Linked DNA regions of Daphnia pulex. The protein of the gene in region 2 interacts with the protein of the main gene of each other region in a pairwise test. Links are inferred from orthologs where the notes say so. Each region holds a gene or a part of one and is shown on either strand. Other genes may lie near its edges.

Evidence for each region.
Region 1: the proteins of GRIP and coiled-coil domain-containing protein 2-like (region 2) and ADP-ribosylation factor-like protein 1 interact in a two-hybrid assay, tested with the Drosophila melanogaster proteins (2 studies listed by BioGRID). The link is inferred for Daphnia pulex from reciprocal best matches to the Drosophila melanogaster genes GCC185 and Arl1.

What each region holds. Positions count from the first base shown.
Region 1 is NC_060020.1:4,904,373-4,912,711, forward strand, and holds ADP-ribosylation factor-like protein 1, read right to left. Parts: upstream 4,037-8,339; 5' UTR 3,876-4,036; coding exon 3,872-3,875; intron 3,799-3,871; coding exon 3,699-3,798; intron 3,637-3,698; coding exon 3,520-3,636; intron 3,460-3,519; coding exon 3,348-3,459; intron 3,274-3,347; coding exon 3,064-3,273; 3' UTR 2,679-3,063; downstream 1-2,678. Other genes in the region: NADH dehydrogenase [ubiquinone] 1 alpha subcomplex subunit 9, mitochondrial-like, read left to right, coding at 998-1,037, 1,103-1,504, 1,573-1,710, 1,769-2,015, 2,086-2,203, 2,273-2,338, 2,408-2,584. UniProt on the Drosophila melanogaster protein: GTP-binding protein involved in protein trafficking; may modulate vesicle budding and uncoating within the Golgi apparatus.
Region 2 is NC_060018.1:5,673,270-5,682,285, reverse strand, and holds GRIP and coiled-coil domain-containing protein 2-like, read left to right. Parts: upstream 1-3,271; 5' UTR 3,272-3,368; coding exon 3,369-3,501; intron 3,502-3,633; coding exon 3,634-4,007; intron 4,008-4,084; coding exon 4,085-4,405; intron 4,406-4,474; coding exon 4,475-5,059; intron 5,060-5,133; coding exon 5,134-5,597; intron 5,598-5,667; coding exon 5,668-5,872; intron 5,873-5,947; coding exon 5,948-6,095; intron 6,096-6,166; coding exon 6,167-6,579; intron 6,580-6,650; coding exon 6,651-6,833; 3' UTR 6,834-7,229; downstream 7,230-9,016. Other genes in the region: cytochrome c oxidase assembly protein COX15 homolog, read left to right, coding at 267-504, 577-611, 668-765, 832-1,018, 1,088-1,340, 1,413-1,567, 1,630-1,743, 1,809-1,949; von Hippel-Lindau disease tumor suppressor-like, read right to left, coding at 2,369-2,372, 2,446-2,672, 2,742-2,936, 3,008-3,094.

The DNA.
Region 1 (8,339 bases), on a different chromosome or scaffold from region 2:
AAATATCAGTGTAAGAGAGAAAACAAAAAGCAATGAAGAGAATTTCTGTGGGCTTTTTTTTTTCTAGAACAAATGTATTAGTGTTTAATTGCATTTTATGCACGCATTGTGTCTGGTCGTGTGTTAAAAGCTGTTTGTAAGAATAAAAAAAAAGTTTCAATTTTGAAGTTTAAAGAAATTACTCTTTCAAATCTACTAACATAGTAGGCCTATGGGGAGGTCGTACAGATTCCCTTTTTGATCCTGTACTACCAGCAATTGTAATGTTAGCGGTAATCTAGTATTCATTTAGCATCCAAGTCTGAGCACATTTAAATTATTACAATTAGACCTGAATCGAAACAGTCTATTGTTTAATAACAAAATACAGTACATAGATCTTTCCGTTGAATTAATATTTAAAGAGTGATGTGTTGGTAAACATAAAGTCAAACCAATCCTCCATTGCTAGACAGCGATTAGTAAATTACGAGGTAAAAATGGATCGTGTATCTCAATTAAAAATAGTAAAATGATATTCGTTGTGAGAAGATCGTTATTTGAAATTTGCGGGTGTTTGGAGCACACTGATTGGTCGAGATTCTCCAAGGGGCGGAGTTATTTTCCAAAGTGGTTTTTGTTATTTATTTTTTTACGAGAAAACTCATTTCAGCTCTGGGGATGGTGTGGGGTTTTTATTTTATCTTAATTAGGTTACAATTTATGTAGCTAACTAAGCAAATGTTACAGCAATTTACTCAATGTGGTAAAACGGACATAAAATTAAAATTGTCATTGTATTCACAGGTTTCTACCACACGGTCCAGGTAATTTTCATGATCAACCCCGATTAAATGATCCTTAGTACATTGAATGATATTGATGGATCAATCAATCAAAGTAAATCGGTAAAAATTCCAACTTATTTCGTTCAATTATCTCACACCAGATGTCTCAAGCTAGCCGTAATTGTCGCCAACTATCGCAGTCTTCCGACAGATGGTGATTGTTAGTGAAAATGGCCTCCCTAAAAATATGCTCGCAGAGCTCTAAACAATGTAAGAATTAAATTAAACAAATAACATTTATTGAACTTGTAGATGAACAACTTTATATTTTAAAGGGGCGAGCTTGTCGTCGATTGTGTTCACACCCACGGCGTCGTACAGCACCGAAGTAAACATCAACTCTCGGATGTCGGCCTTTCGAAGAGGAACTGGAGGAAGATCTAGCTTTAACGGAGTTGTAGCTACTGTTTTTGGAGCTAATGGTCATCTAGGTTCTGTTGTCTGCAATAAGTTGGGTAACACAGGCACCCAGCTAGTGCTACCTTACAGAGGTGATTTCTACGATGTTGCACCACTGAAGATGTGTGGAGACTTGGGCCAGGTCTACTTTACACCTTACAACCTTAAGGATGAGAATAGTATCAGGAAAGCTTTGAAGCATTCCAATCTTGTCATCAATGTGGTTGGCAGGGAATGGGAGACTCGAAATTTTTCATTTGAGGACATCTATGTGAAAGGCAAATTATTCTATTCAACCGCTTCTTAATGTTCTTATATATCTTAACCAGTAAAATTCATTTTATAGGTCCAAGAACTATTGCACGCATTGCTAAGGAATGTGGGGTTGAAAGAATGATCCATGTCTCAGCTTTAAATGCAACTGAGAAACCTGAACCTCTTATGCTTAAAGAAGGTTCAAAGTTTTTGTCTGCTAAATGGAGAGGTTAGAAACTATAAATTTTTTCGGAATACAGAGAAATCATTTTCAATTTAACTAACAGGTGAACTAGCCGTTCGTGAGGAATTTCCCGAAGCAGTTATTTTCCGACCGTCGGATATCTATGGTTCAGAGGATCGATTCGTTACTTATTATGCTGCATTTTGGCGCCGTCAAGGTGCAGGTATGCCGCTGTGGAAAAAGGGAGAACATACCATCAAGCAACCCGTATGTGTTGGGGACGTAGCTCAGGGAATTTTGAATGCTGCCAGAAACATTGATACCAATGGGCAAATTTATCAAGCTATTGGGTATATATGTATTACTTACCCCAGTATTGTATTTGTTTCTTCTTTCGCTAACGTTGTATAATTTTCACAGGCCTAAGCGATACCAACTTGGAGAGCTAGTTGATTATTTTTTCCGTGTTATGCGTAAGGATAAAGAATGGGGCTATTACCGTTACGATTTGCGTTATGCCCCTCTGTTCTGGTTAAAAGTAAGTATTATAAAAACCTTAGTTTAATTTTGAACTTTTACTGAATTATTTATTGGCACGATACTTTAGGTCAATTTAACAGCAAAACTTCCAGGATGGCCTATCGCAAACCTTGGATGGGAAAAACTTGAACGAGTAAGATTCTTTTGAAATATTTTGATATTAAATCCCATGCATTACCTCATATGTGTTTGTGTTAACTAGGATCACGTTACCGATTGTGTTGACAATTCCCTGCCGACACTGGAAGACTTAGGAGTTACTTTGACGCGAATTGAGGAGAGAGCCCCTTGGTTGTTGAAAATGTATCGTGCCCATAATTATTACGACGAGGAATTGGGAGAATTTGAAAAACCTGCCCCCCCTCCTATTGTTGCCTAATCTAAAGGCTCTAATAGTCACCCTGTTGGCTATCGTGTACATTTTTTTTTCATCCGAGTTGTTCAAACAGGTAGTCTATAAACTGAAGAAAGGCCAAAATTCAAACATTTATTTTTGTTTCCATTAGCATGTACATAATTTATTCAAGCATGATTTCGTAGGGATCTTCAGGTTGCCAAAAGATTTTTTTGCACAAACCAGAAAAAAACAAATTACTCTTTTGAACTGGATCTATATTAGAGGTTGAGGATGGATAGAAATGGAACATGATGAGAACACATTGACTCTCACAAACTTCAAGATGAACAATAAGGATTCAATCATCTCTGAAAATGTAATTTAGCACACAAACATGCTCGCAAATTCGAGGCCCACCACCCGCTAATGGTGAAGAGGCGAACAAACCGTTTTAAAAAGTAACAACTAAGAGAAAATTAGGGAACCAAAGCATTTACATGGTAGAGAAAAAGCGAAGAGCGTTATTTACGGCTCTGCAGTGCATTGGATAGCCAATCCATTGCTTGGTCCAACCCTTCTCCTTTGATTGCAGAAGTTTTGAATATCTGAAAAGTTCTGTTCCTGAGCAAGTCTAAACCTAAGGCTTGATGCACTTCTGCTACACTCATGGCACCTTCCATATCCTGTTTATTTGCAAGGACTGCTAGGATAGCTCCTTTCAGTTCCTCTTCCTAAAACAGAGTATTGAGCAGGGTTATAATCAATTAAGAATTAATTAACTAATTATATTATTGTGGTCTTTTACCTCTAGCATTGAAACAAGTTCTTGTTTAGATATTCCTATTCTGTCCTTATCAACAGAGTCAACAACATAAATAATGGCGTCAGTGTTGGAATAGTAACACCTCCAATAGGGTCTGCACAATGTTAGTTTAATGAGTTAAGTAATAGGTGTTTCAATAAACAAATAACAATACCTTATGCTTGTTTGCCCTCCAAGATCCCAGACTTGAAATTTCAAGTTTTTATAAGTGACCTGCTCAACATTGAAACCAATTGTGGGAATGGTGGTCACAACTTCCCCGACTTGTAACCTATCAAAGGAATGTGCAATCCAGCAAGAACATAACAAACATATGAATTTACTTCAATTTACCTGTAAAGAATAGTAGTTTTCCCCGCACCATCAAGTCCCAAAATCAAGATCCTCATTTCTCGGCTACCGATTAAGCTACGAAAATAACTGAGAAGACCACCTATAAAAATGCCGGTAATTACAACCAATTTGGATACGAAAGAATGACATTAGTTTCAAAAATCAATCCATACCCATCGCACAGGCTTCTGAATGTAGTAATTTAAACAAAAACAAGAAGGAATTAGGAAGAACTTGAATTTGACAGTTCTTAAAAGTCCGACTCTATTCAATGAGTGATACGGTGACGTTGGCAACTTAGCAGTTCGTTCAAACTCCCCGTAAGGCTACGTTGTCAGTAAAACTCGGGTCGAGGCTCGGAGGAGAACTAAAACTCGGGATTCAGGAATGGATTTGGAAGTCACCATTTTGTCGTCTGCACATCAATATTATGAAAATTTCCCCGCGAGTTTTGACCGTACGGAACGCCGACTGAAAGTAAAACGGTAAAACCATGCACCACGTTTATATGATACGAAACTACGAGCCAACGAGCAGAGATATACATATAGTCAACATCACTAACATGTTCATGTTCCATCATGTTTGTACAAAATAATTTCGAAAGAAGCAGGGAGTTAACTGAATAATGTAAACTGATCGTAAAAGCAGTTCTTTTCCACTCCAAATTAACGGGGAAGTCAGAAATCTAATCAAATTGATGTCAGGATTGTCAGCTCAGTAATTGAGAAGCTATCGTTAATTCCAGTGAAGTTTCGTTAAAAATTTAAAAAAGATTGTTGTTTGCGACACTAGATGGCGAAATGTGTTGTTTTTCTCGTGTCGCAAACAAATGCAAATGCCGCTCAAAGTTGTTTATATTTGTTCAATATTCTTTGTTTTTAATTTTTTATGGACCAAATTCAACCCCAAAATGATGTGAAGGTAAATTTCTAACTTTCTTAAGCACCATTTTTTTTTACCCTTTAATACACCCATCTATGTATGTTACAATTCTATTCTACATAATTAATGTGTGCAATGCCTGTCATCTCATCAAGGTTGCATTAGCATTAATAGATCAATGGGATCATTGGCATTTCAAATTTTTACATAAAGTTGCTGAATAGACAATACTCTTTTTGAGCTAAGGATTCTCATTGCATTCTTGACTAAATATTTTCATAAAATTTATCTAGCTGACATTTTCAGGGTGCAGGCCGCAGGGTGCCTGTGACAATAGGGATACAATGGTGAATGGTCCAATACAGTAAGCCAAGCTGAAAAATCAATCTAAAAAACAAAGGAAATTTTATGGCATGGTTTCTTTGTTTAATTGTTTTCACTGGTTTTAACGGACATAATATGTAAGCAAGTCTGGAAGAGTAGACTGATCACATGGGATGACTGATATCTCATCATCATCATTGTTTATTGTTACACACATCTCTGTATTTTACTATTCCTAGATGATCTTTGTGTGATTTGTTGTCCCATCAGATTATATTAATGGAGCATGGAAATTCCCAATTTTCACACAAGCCTCATCTGAATATTTTGTATTACCACAGCTTTAGCTGTTCAGCTACAGACATAAACTTTTCAGCCCAATATATGGGATGAATGCAAAAGGTAAACACCATAACATAATTATTTTGATACTAAGCACATTGATGACAATAAACTCGATGATTTAATATTTTTTAGTTTTATTTTACAGGTTCTCTCTTGACTCTCATTAATTGATACTTTTTTCAAGCAGTTCATGATAAAGATAATATAGTATTAATCCGTTGGCTGCTACCATGAATTTTCCTCTTTGACTTTCTTAGAACGGGTCCGCTCTTGATTTGAGGTATTGCTTGGTGTCGCTACAATCTTCTTTGATATTTTTGGTACCTCAAGTAACATCCATTCTCATTCCAGGTTAATCCTGCGCCGCTTTTCAATTACTGAATTCATTGGTGGAACCTGACGACAAATCTGCAACCACTGACTGACGTGCTGTCATTCAGCAATACCGCCACTTGCAGAGTTGAAAAAAAATTATTCTAAAAAGTAGAATTTCCGCTAACTTTTTACTTGAATTCAATAGAAATGACGATTTACCACAGTCGTTATGAAGTGCATCAATTTCCCAACGTACTCAACATCACAAAGATGTAATGCTCTCTATCAATCCTACTATATACACTCGCCAGAAATGTTCAGTTGGTTTGTTTCTTTTCCCTATCCAGAATCCCATCATCAGATTGAAGAAGGTAATAAGTTTATAGCTGTTTCTCCAATAATTGGACAAGATGTTTAATTTTCTTCGTTTTAAAGGGATACTTTCTAGAGATTCATTTTTTGCTTTGCGTCGATCGCACTCACGTCTGGTAGGCCTACGAATGGTTTGTGACGAAACCTCTTTCCAGTGCCGATCAGTGTTCACAAACTGTTGGATCGATCGCACAAAATGTAACTAAAGGACAAATGCAATCACACTACCCGACCATGAAAGAAAGTAATACAAACATGTCACTATACCCGACCTTCCATCAAATAAACTGCTGCTGCAGTTTAGAAAATCTGAAAACCTGGAGCCTTGGATTACCGTAAGATGAAATAGGCCTGCCAAGCCCCGTCAATTTGAACGTATGGAAGTTTTGGCCACGACTGAATTTGAAAAGGCTCTTTGTCAACAAGAAAAAACCATCTGATCCAAAAAAAATTTAGGCAAGTTGTTCCCACAATATAGTAGACAAAAGAACGTAAAGAACTAATAGTTTGTTGTAATTTAGGCAACAGAAAATCTCATATGGAATTTTGCTAGACATACCTTTCAGACGGTCGTCAATATTGAGGAAGAAAAAGAATCTAAACCCGAAGTAGAGGCAGAAGAGGATTATCCTACTACTGTTATACCAAAAGCCAACGGAATTTATTCCACGCGCTCCAAGACGGCATTATTATGGTGTGCCCTTGTTGACTTACTAAAGGTACTAAGTGGAATCATCAAGGAGGAAAGCAGTAGTACCTCCACCAAATTAAAATCTCCTTTATACTAATTGACGTCATTTTCCAAGTTAGGCACACATGTCCGACAACAGACCTATGTAGACCAGTATAGGAGCAATCCACTTGCTGTCAGTAAGAAACAGGCGTCAGGAAAAAGAGACAGTTAAATGTTACTTGTCGCTCAAGTTCTCCATTATCTAACCTTTATCACCTCCATTATACCAATGACGTAAAGCACAGGTAATAAGAAACATTTTTATTCCTTTTTGATTCCATAGGTAATGAGCATTTGATTTTCTTTCAACAGATTTAGAAACACAAAAGTGTTGAAATTCGTTTTAACGGTCGTTCCACCGTATCACAAAGTGAAGCATCTAGCCCGATGTCGCTCAAGATTTCCAACACGGTCCCAAGAATAACTCGCCTGCTTGGATCTATTCATTGGCTAGACCTCTGATTCTGGTTGGATGTTTCGTTTTTTTTTTTCGAACAAACGGCCTCAAATCGTTGAGAGAATTCTCTGTAAGTGTGAACCGTCCATGCGTGTCCCGCTGAGAAGAAATGGCAACCAGCGGCCAACCAAAAAGCCCACAACATGAGCATAGATGGTAAAAACCGGTAAAAACCGTCAGGGATGTCGCCCGTCACAGAGGAGTGAAGATAGCTTGGAACTTAAGTACGACAAAGCATTACCACGAGAGGAACGAAAAAGCTGCTGCAAGACGGGTAAGGCCACCTTATCTTTCTCGACTTAAGGACACACTTTAAGGGACTTTGGGATGTGGAGCCTTGAAAGAGTTAAAAAGTCTGAAAAGCTAACTAAAAACTTTGTCTATTCGTGTCATAGGGAAAGCTGCTGGAGTAATCTGGTGTTTATGCTCATTTGATTCATTTCGTGCCAGCTAGTGAAAGCCGAAAGGCTCAAGGCATGTCGAATTCAAGTTGAGCTGCTGCGTGCTGTCTGGAAGCAAGCAATCCAGCCGTTGCGTTCAGTCATTTGAACAGGAATCTAATGACTGTCAATAGGTGGCTGTCAATAGGTGGCTGAAATGATGTCCACCAGGTAGCGCGAGTGTGTTCAGCACTGATGCAGAGCGGCCATTTTGTTGCAAGACGCAGTAGAGATGGGTTGTTGGTCGTGACGTTTCTCACGATGAAAATTAAAAGGTATTCAATTCATTGTTAAGTTCCTATTGTTATTGAATTAAAAATGTTGATGTATAAATTTACAGTGATTTAGCATGTAGAAACCACTTTGCCAAACCATTCAACTCAGACTTGGGAAGTGCCTGTACATTGCCGAAATGGCGTGCCTAGTGTGTCTCGCTGCCTGTTCTTAGGCGTACGTCTAAACCCATGCAACAGCTAAAAGTAATTATTTTGATCAAATGTCTTTCAAAAGTACTACAGATCTAGTTAACATGACTAGAGATTAGACCAATTTGCTCTGCTACGATAGAAATTTTGAATCACATTTTAAAGTTATTTTGTTGGACTGCGTAGTTTTCTGTTACTCTTTGTATTCTTCTGTTATAATGAGTGTGTACACAGTTGTGTTTCTTGAAATTAATTTTCTTTTCTGAAATAGGTATAACAAACACTTCTATAACGCTGTTGGTTACCTTGTTGCAGCCAAATGGGGAAAGGTGTGACAAAGACCGT
Region 2 (9,016 bases):
ATATATATATATTTAAAAAATACACCAATAACACTTTGAAATTCGTCTGCTACAGCTGCGATAAACCGGTAGACGTGACTTCATTTGAAATCCAATCTTTCACATCTTGAAAATTGGAAAAAATCATTAGTTCCTTTAGGTTTTAATTAAAAACAAACAATGATAATCGTAGCTAAATTCATTCAGAATCAGAATTCGGTAAGTTGAGATTTTTCAAACAATTCTTGCCTATACCGTCATTTAAATAAACATTTTATTTTCTTTAGTTATGTAATCAAGTTCGTCCTTACCTAAAGAATGCGATCCAGCGAAATTATGTGGCCGCAGTTAAGCCTAGTCGGATTCAATTGAAATGCTCTGCATTCTCTAAATGTTTTAAGAGTTTTCAACCACTTACCAGATTTGTAACAACTGCTGCTGAGGTACCAACAATACAACAATCAAAATGGATTGGACGATGGCTTGGAACATGTGCTGGCATGTGCTTTGGAGCAGTGGTGATTGGTATGGTTTATCAACTTTTTTAATCAATAGATTTAATGATTTACTGAAATTATCTCTTTTATGACTAAATAGGGGGACTCACAAGATTGACAGAATCTGGCTTGTCGGTAATGAAATAGTAACTTACTTGTTATTTCTAAGTTATTTTATAGCCTATTTCCAGATGGTTGAATGGTCTGCGTTTGGTGAAAGACCTCCGATGTCGCGAGAAGATTGGGAAAGAGAGTTTGAAAAATATAAACAGTTCCCTGAATACAAACAGTATTTTTTTAAAAATTAATTACAGTGTTAAAACAGTTAGGATTTTTAGTCAATTTTCCTAAACAGGTTAAAGAAAGGAATCAGCCTTGAAGAATTCAAATTCATCTGGCACATGGAGTATGGGCACAGAATGTGGGGTAGATTAATTGGAGCCATGTTTGTCATACCTGCAGCAATTTTCTGGAAAAAGGGCTACTTTAATTCAGCATTGAAAAAGAGAGTATTGATTTATGGAACTTTGATTGGATGTCAGGTATACAAGTTAAAGCTGGCTTTTCTAAATTTTCTATTTTTTTTTTAAGCTAATATTTTAAACAATTAGGGTTTGCTTGGATGGTATATGGTAAAATCTGGTTTGGAAGATCGATTCCATGGAGAAGCCGATGTCCCAAGAGTTTCACAGTACAGATTAGCTTCACATCTCGGATCTGCCTTCGTACTTTATTCCCTTTTTCTCTGGACATCTCTACATCACCTGGTGCCCGCCAAAGTAATGGAGGTCTCTAAAGGGGCTATCAAATTTAAAAGATTAGTTCATTTTTCTAAAGGAATCGTTTTTCTGACCGCAATCTCGGGTATAACGAGTTCATCAAAGTATGTGTTAATGGTTGTTTTCTAATTTCATTGATTATTCTCGGATTTTAAAGGAGCATTTGTAGCAGGATTGGATGCTGGTCTGGTTTACAACTCATATCCCTTGATGGCTGGACGATTCTTACCTCAAGAATGGCTAGCCTTGACACCTAAAATCAGGAATTTCACTGAAAATCCTTCTACTGTTCAGTTTGACCATCGTACTCTGGTAATAGGGATAATTAAATTTTTCAGTAGAAATCAAATAAAATTTAAATTTAAACTTTACAGGGGCATTTTACCGTCCTCTTATTATCGTCTGTATGGCTTTTGTCACGTCGCATTGTACTTCCACCTCGAGCGCGATATGCTGCCAATGCACTGGCTGCTATGGCGTGGATGCAGGTACACATAACAAATATTGTTGCATGTGTTTTTTCAGCAATAACAAAGAGTTCGTTTTTCCGCAGGCTTCTCTCGGAATAGCAACTCTTCTCTTTTATGTCCCCACACCGTTGGCGTCTTCACATCAAGCTGGTTCCTTGGTATTGCTCTCAACTGCCTTGTGGCTCTCTCATGAACTCAAAAATATGAAGTACATCCCAAAGTAAAACCATTCGTTTGTATACCGTGGTTTGATTTTCCTTTCACTGCTCTGAGAACGAAATCGCACTTTTCACGTAGTTGTGATGTTATTGAAATAAAATCATTAAGTCAATCTGGAGGTGTTGCTAAACTGTTACTATAATACAGTAATACCATAAAATTCTTATCTGTTTTTAGCGAAAGATTATAATAGTAAAAAAAAATGGCCGATATGTTGATTCAAATTTCAAAGTCTCATTGCTAAAACGCTATTTGTTAAGGAACAATGCTTAAGAGTTAAGATTACGCACAGTTAGAGCTATCACAGCTAATTTAACCAATTGAAAACAAACCAGTTAGCTCGGAACTCTTATGGGAAGAATAAATGATATTCCGTCGATAGAATTAATGAACATCCAAGTTGTCAATTGAATCGCTGGACCAATTATCTGTTTCAACGTCATAAAAATATACTTCACAAGTTAAAGTGATATACTGTAATTTAACACTTAACAGACTTACATAGTATTTTTAATTCTTGATGATTTCATGAGCACCACTAGATCATTTTGCAACTGCCTGGGAAGTTCTAGCTGATGAACATGGTTGTAATCTTTTATCCTCTTTCTAATGGCATGCATAGCAGAATATTTGAGAGAATAGAGAGGGCTTGTAATGTTGACAGTAACTCGTTTGGGTTTTATGTCTTCAGGATTAATTTTCCCACTTCGCAAGTCTGGAAGATATTGCTAAAGCATGGGAATATGTGATAATTTGAACAGATTTTTGAAAGCAAACTGTCTTTTTGACCACCTTACCTCATACCATGCATTTGGTTGAAATACATCTTTTAAATTTGCATTTAACCTTTCATGTGTCAATGCATCTTGAAATAGCCAAGGATGAGCCACATATGTGTTTACATCAAAAAATTCTTCTGGTTCTAAAGTCTTATATTTCACTCTTGCACCTTCATAATTCATCCATATTACTTCTACTTTCCTTTGAGTATGCTAATAATTATTAATCAAGAATATATTAAAAAGAATTCAAGAAATGTACTTAAAAATAAGATGTGACCAACATTGCAAAATCGAACGAAGCTTAATCCACGGCTGGGTTGCGACCTCATCTCACGAACGCCATCCCTAGAGTTTTCTTCATTTATCATTTTCACATCAGTAAGAAACTGTTATTGCTATGTGCAAAATTTGCATGTAGTAGACTGTTTAGTAGTAGACTGTTTTTTTTTTCTACGCGAGACTGTTTAGTTCGTGTCGTCTCAGTTTCTTGATTTGGAACTTTTGTATATGTGTCAAATTTGCACGTGATGCATTTCCTTGTCGGAAGATGCCGTATCAAAAATCGTCTGCACCAGTTTTTGACACGTAAAATAAAAGTTCCCGATGTGATTTGACAAGTGCAGAAAACATACAATAATATCAATGGAAGAAAGCTTTGAGAAAACAAATAACGTTAATAAAAAATTACCGTTGGAGGAATTAGACCGAGATGAATTACTGAAACGCTGTAAGAGCTACTTGGCTTTAGCGCAAAGGGCAAAACAAGCTAGAGATGGTAAGTGCTATATTGATGGCATCGGCAATTTAAAAATATTATCGGATATAATAAAATATTCTTCTATTTCCTTTGGTTTGTTTATACTTTATTGGTTTATCTGTTTTACCTTTATTTCTCTTTCATCGATAGAAGTGCAACAGAGAGAAACTAGCCTCCTTGACAAAATTTCAACACTTGAAAGTCAAGTTATCCAGTTGGGAATACAGGAAAAAACCTGCAGCAATAATGAAGAGGAACATCTGGAATCAATTCAAGACCTTTCACTAACTTCAAATGTCTCTGATTTAGTATCACAATTAAAACTAAAAGATGAAGAAACAAATTTGCTGCTATCTAAAAGTGAAGCAATGCAGGCACAGCTTAAAACTCTTGAAGAAAATTATGAACAACAAAAGGATGGCTTTGTAGAAGAATTAAATAAAATGAATGATGTTTTGAAACAGAGGGGTGAAGCCATTACTAGGCTTGAAGAAAAATGCCAAACAAATGAAAAAGAATTCAAGGTATCCAAATTAAATCTATTTGTTGATCTTAAGAAATTTATTCATTTCTTTTTCATCCGCAAATATTTTTTGACTAGGCGAAAACTGAAACATTCCTTCAATTAGTAGCAGAGAGGGAGCGCAAAATTGAACAGTTGGAGAGTGAATCCAGTCGGTTCGAAACGCAGAGTGAAGTAATGAGTACGTCAACCGTAAGCAAAGTGGAAGAAATTCATCGGATGAAAGATGTTGAAGATTCGCTAGAAGATAGATACAACAAGTTGAAAATGTTGGCAGTAAAAATGAAGAGAAAGATTGCTGAACAAAACACACAATTACAAGAGAAAGATAATCAGCTGACTTTGTTGAAGGCGGAGGATAAGAAAACACATATTCGAAATAATTCGTTAAATTTACAGGTAAAGAACAGAGCGTTTCATTCTCTTATCGTTATTTGAATCAATATTTTTACTTTTGTACCAATCTAGGCAGCTCAGAAGGACATTGATCGATTGAATGATGAATTGGATGCGAAAAAATCGGAACTATCCGTAATGAAGAAAGATTGTGAACATTCAATCCAAGAACTAGCAAATAGTAGGCAAAGGGCAGAGGAATTCAAAAACGAAGCTTCTCTCCTAAAAACAACAGCAGCGAACCTTGAAATTTCAAAAAAAGTGTTGGAAAAATCCTTTCAAGATTTCAAAGTCATGTATGATGACAGTCGGAAGGAGAACGAATCCGAAAAAATCCTTAGAGTTGAATTGAGTAAGGAATGCGATCGGTTTAGAAACGAAATCCGCCAGCTGAATTCCACTATTGACGAACTGAATAAAAAGAATCAAGCTGTAAAGCAAGAATGTAAGAAGCAGAGTTTGTTGGAAATGGAACTTACAGATTACGAGAAATCTGTTTCTGAATTGAACGGACAACTGGAAACGCTTCAGAAGGAGCTCGCTTTGAAACAAAACATTGTCGATCAACACAAGGAAGAAAAATCTGGACTTGAAGCACAAGTCTCTCTCTTGGAACAGCAAGTTGGCACGGAACAGCAACGAGCGACAGATTTAAAAGTGAGATTTCCTTTTATTAGTCATCAAATAATTGCTTCAACTAAGTTTCTCTCTTATGCATTTTTCCCACACAGATGAATTTGGATGCAGTTCAGTTAGAGTTAGATTCCATTCAAAACGAGTTACAACAACAGAGAACCGAAATTCGCAACGTCACCGCGAAGGCAGAATCAAAAGAGAACGAAGTTGATAATCTAAAATTACAGTTGTCCACCGTCAACGCCGAACTTCACAAGCTTCAAACCGGATCATCACTACACATTGAAACTCTCCGTAAACAGGTTGCGGCGCTTGAAGAAGCCGCAGCAACCGAGAAAATGGTCAAAGACAGTTTACAATCTGAATTGTCTGAGCTCCGTGCCGAGTATGAAAATTACAAAATACGCGCCACGAGCGTCTTGAAGAAACAAAAGACGGAAGCGCAACCTTCAGCCACATCATCGAAAGAAGCGGCAGATGATTTCAATACGGATCAAGTTGAACGGGAAATGCTGCAACGAGTCGTCGAAGCTCTTAAGGGGAAAATAGCAGAACTCGAGTAAGCCGTTAGTTTATTGATCGGTTGGTTGGCAAAAAGAAATATTGGTTTTAATTGTTTGTTTGCTCAGGTCGCAGCTGGCGCATTCACAAAGTGAAGTGTCCAATTTCAGAGCGGAAAGGGAACGAACTGCGGCAACTCAATCATCAATCGTTGAAGCTATGCAGAACCGCTTGGAGCGTGCTGAATCTGAAATGGAGGTTATCAAGCGAGAACACCAAGCGCAGATTTCTCGATTGCAAGGGGATAATCAATTACTAGCTTCCTTACATCGAGTATGTTCTACATTCTCACATAAAGCTGCATAAAACATCCATTGAATTTAAAATCTATATTGATTGATTGCTCAGGAACAAATCGATGGGATTAAGTTACGTCATGCTCAAGAAATTTTGGAGCTGCAAAATAATTTAGATGAAGTTGGACTGGAATCCGCAAGATTGCAGAAGATTATATCTAGCTATCAGGCACAGCGGACTGTCAGTCCACTTACAAAAGGTTTGCAATGAAATTTAATATTAATGTAGACTCGTCACTAATTATCCCATTCGATATTTGCTGTTCATCAGCGGGTGATCTGCGACGTGATGAAGCTTTCATGATAGAACGGGAACGTGGCGAAGGGTCTGAAGATGGAAGTGTGACCCGCCGATCGACGCAACGTGAGGACAGTGACAACGACTCACGAAAACCCATTCCTTTGGAGCTCTTGCTGAATTCTCAATTGGCATCTGAAGAAACTGTTGTTTTCCAAACCGAACGCCCAGAAACCATCTCCTTTGAACAGTACAGCGAATCGTTGGCGCTGGTGGAGAAACGATGCAATCATTTGTCTGCTCTGTTGGCGGAATCGGAAGCTAACGAAGCTCGCCTCTCTCAACTTGCCGACGCCCTAAAAGAGGAAATAAGGCGTTCCGAGCGATCTGAAGAGCGACAAAAGCACATCGAAAATCTGGAGTACTTGAAGAACGTTGTTCTCAAAGTAAGAAATCTAATTTCACAACTGTGTTCCATGTTTTAACTAAATTGATTCTTTTCTTTTCTGCTTACCAGTTCGTTACCTTACCTCCTCGAGGAGAAGAGCGTAGCCGGCTGGTCCCAGTGCTTACCACTTTGCTTCGATTGAGTCCAGTAGAAGTTCAGGAGGTCCACCAAACATTTAATCGTACGACAGACGGAATTGTCCGGCCCATTGGCTGGGGTGGCGTTTTCAACTATTTCGCTCCCAATCAATAGTCACGTGTGATCTTTTCCGAATTTGGGTCCTTGATGTTCGTCATACAACACTATAGACCCCCTCCCCCCACTGTCCATTTGAAATCGGTTCGGTCCAACTACTCCATCCATCTCTGCATTGTTGGTAGTATTGGCAGTATTATTTGGTACGAGCGTACGTCGGGTCGCTTTGGTTGAGGAAAACCACGAGAATCGTTAGCAGCCAAGTATGGGAAGCAAACTATGCGTGTGATTTTAGCCGTTGTATAGTGTGAAATCAATATTTATGTACCTTATTAAGGAGAACGTTGGCTACTTTCTGGACTTGTGGAGAGGTGTGTGTTCATTATATAAATAATCCCCATTATGTTTCCTTCTTTCGAATCGGTGATCACTATTACATCTTTTCGGATGATACAGCGAATTTTCATTTTCTCTTGAGCAAAACGACGCTGATAATCGCTTATGGCCTTTCAAAGTTTCTTGACACTCCAAGCTGTAGCGCCCTTTGCAGTATCAATGTGCCATGAAAACGGAGTTGGAAACAAACCATGCACTTTTGAGTCTATTGTCAAGCAAAACGGCTCTCAAAGCAGACATTGTGCACGGGGTTTCCGTTAAGTTGAGCATGTGCATGAGCAAAAGTTCAGCAGGGTAATAACAAACCCCCCGCCGAAAAAGGCGGAAAAAGGCGTCCGACTTTTATAGTCAGCTGCATGCTGCGAGCAAGTATAATCACCGAGAGGATGAAACGGGTTTACGGTAGTAGGTTCGGGATTTATGTCCCGTCATGTGGAAAAAGAGATCCTGCTTGCCGCAAACTTTTTTTAAAAGATCTCTCTGCTGGTCTCCTCATTTTCTACCATATTGATGGTCATAAGAAGTAGGAGGGGGGTTGCGATATTCCGGTTGAAAAACGAGGGCCGAGTTGCGGATACATACGTTTAGGCCTGAAGCCAAGGAGACAATGGGACCGTTTTGTCAGCGTTGAGAGTCCGAATAGCCGGGGCGGAAAGTCCGCCCCGGTATAACTCCAACCTCTTCGCCAGGAGCTCTGCTGTGAAAGTATACGGGGCAGCGACCCAGCAAGCAATCTGCAACGAAACACCCGAGCTGGTAAATGATCGATGATGATTGAATTACATGTCACGCAAATATATAGAAGGATTTCTATATTATCACGGTCTCTCTTATATAAAGTCGGTTGCCTTAAAATCTACGCGTTCTCTTTTTACATGGAGAGAAAGAGAGAGAGCCTGTCTTACGTAATCATGTATACGAGTTAGAGCAATCAAGTTACTACCACTCTCTCGTGTTCTTATTGCTCCTTTTTATTATGCGCACAGTACATCGCATGAATTGGTGTGCCAGAACGCGAATCCGTAACGAAGTAGAGAAAACGAGGGACCGAGACAAGAAGGTGGAGCGAGGAAATAGATATGATGATGGACTACTAGGTCCCTGTCGGTTATGTCCTCCAGTGTTGTTACTATGCGGCCGTGGAATTCGGTTAGAATCTGCCAGGCAATAAACGTGCCGTAAGACTGCGAGCCTTTTATTTTAGGTTGATTCTACATGGACTGGGTGTCCTAGTAGTATATAGCGCTAGCTGGCTGCTTTTCCTCGTCGCTATATCCTACTATACTACTGCAGCAATCCGCTGGGGCGTGCACCGACTCTCCACACTCCAGTACAGCCGAAATAATGGTCGACGGGTTCGCATATGGAAGAGAGAAGTACTCTGGCTGCTAGGAGACCGACGATCAATACACTTGGAACTTTTGTGCTGTAAGACACTGGTGAGACGTCTATATAGAGATATGCAGCCAAGGTACACAAATACAGCCTTGACTAGATATAGTCGTCGGCAGGCTAAATATACCGAGACGAAAAACGTGTTTGCACATATTTATAGCATCGCTATATATAGGCCTATATATAGAGAGATAATAACATGTACATGCTGCTGTAATATCCTTTTTTTGAAATTGTATTTTTGCATCCGTTCAAAGAACAGCCAACATTCACGAGACAGGTGAGCGAAAAACGTGTTCCAACAAAAGAGATGCTACATGAATTCGAATTAAGGAACCGATTGGACTCGAATAGTGGTATATCAAGCGGTTGGCTATATTATTTAAGTATTTAGATGAAAACCGATTAGGGGTTATAACAGGGAAGTGGTGGATGAGATGTATTTTTGG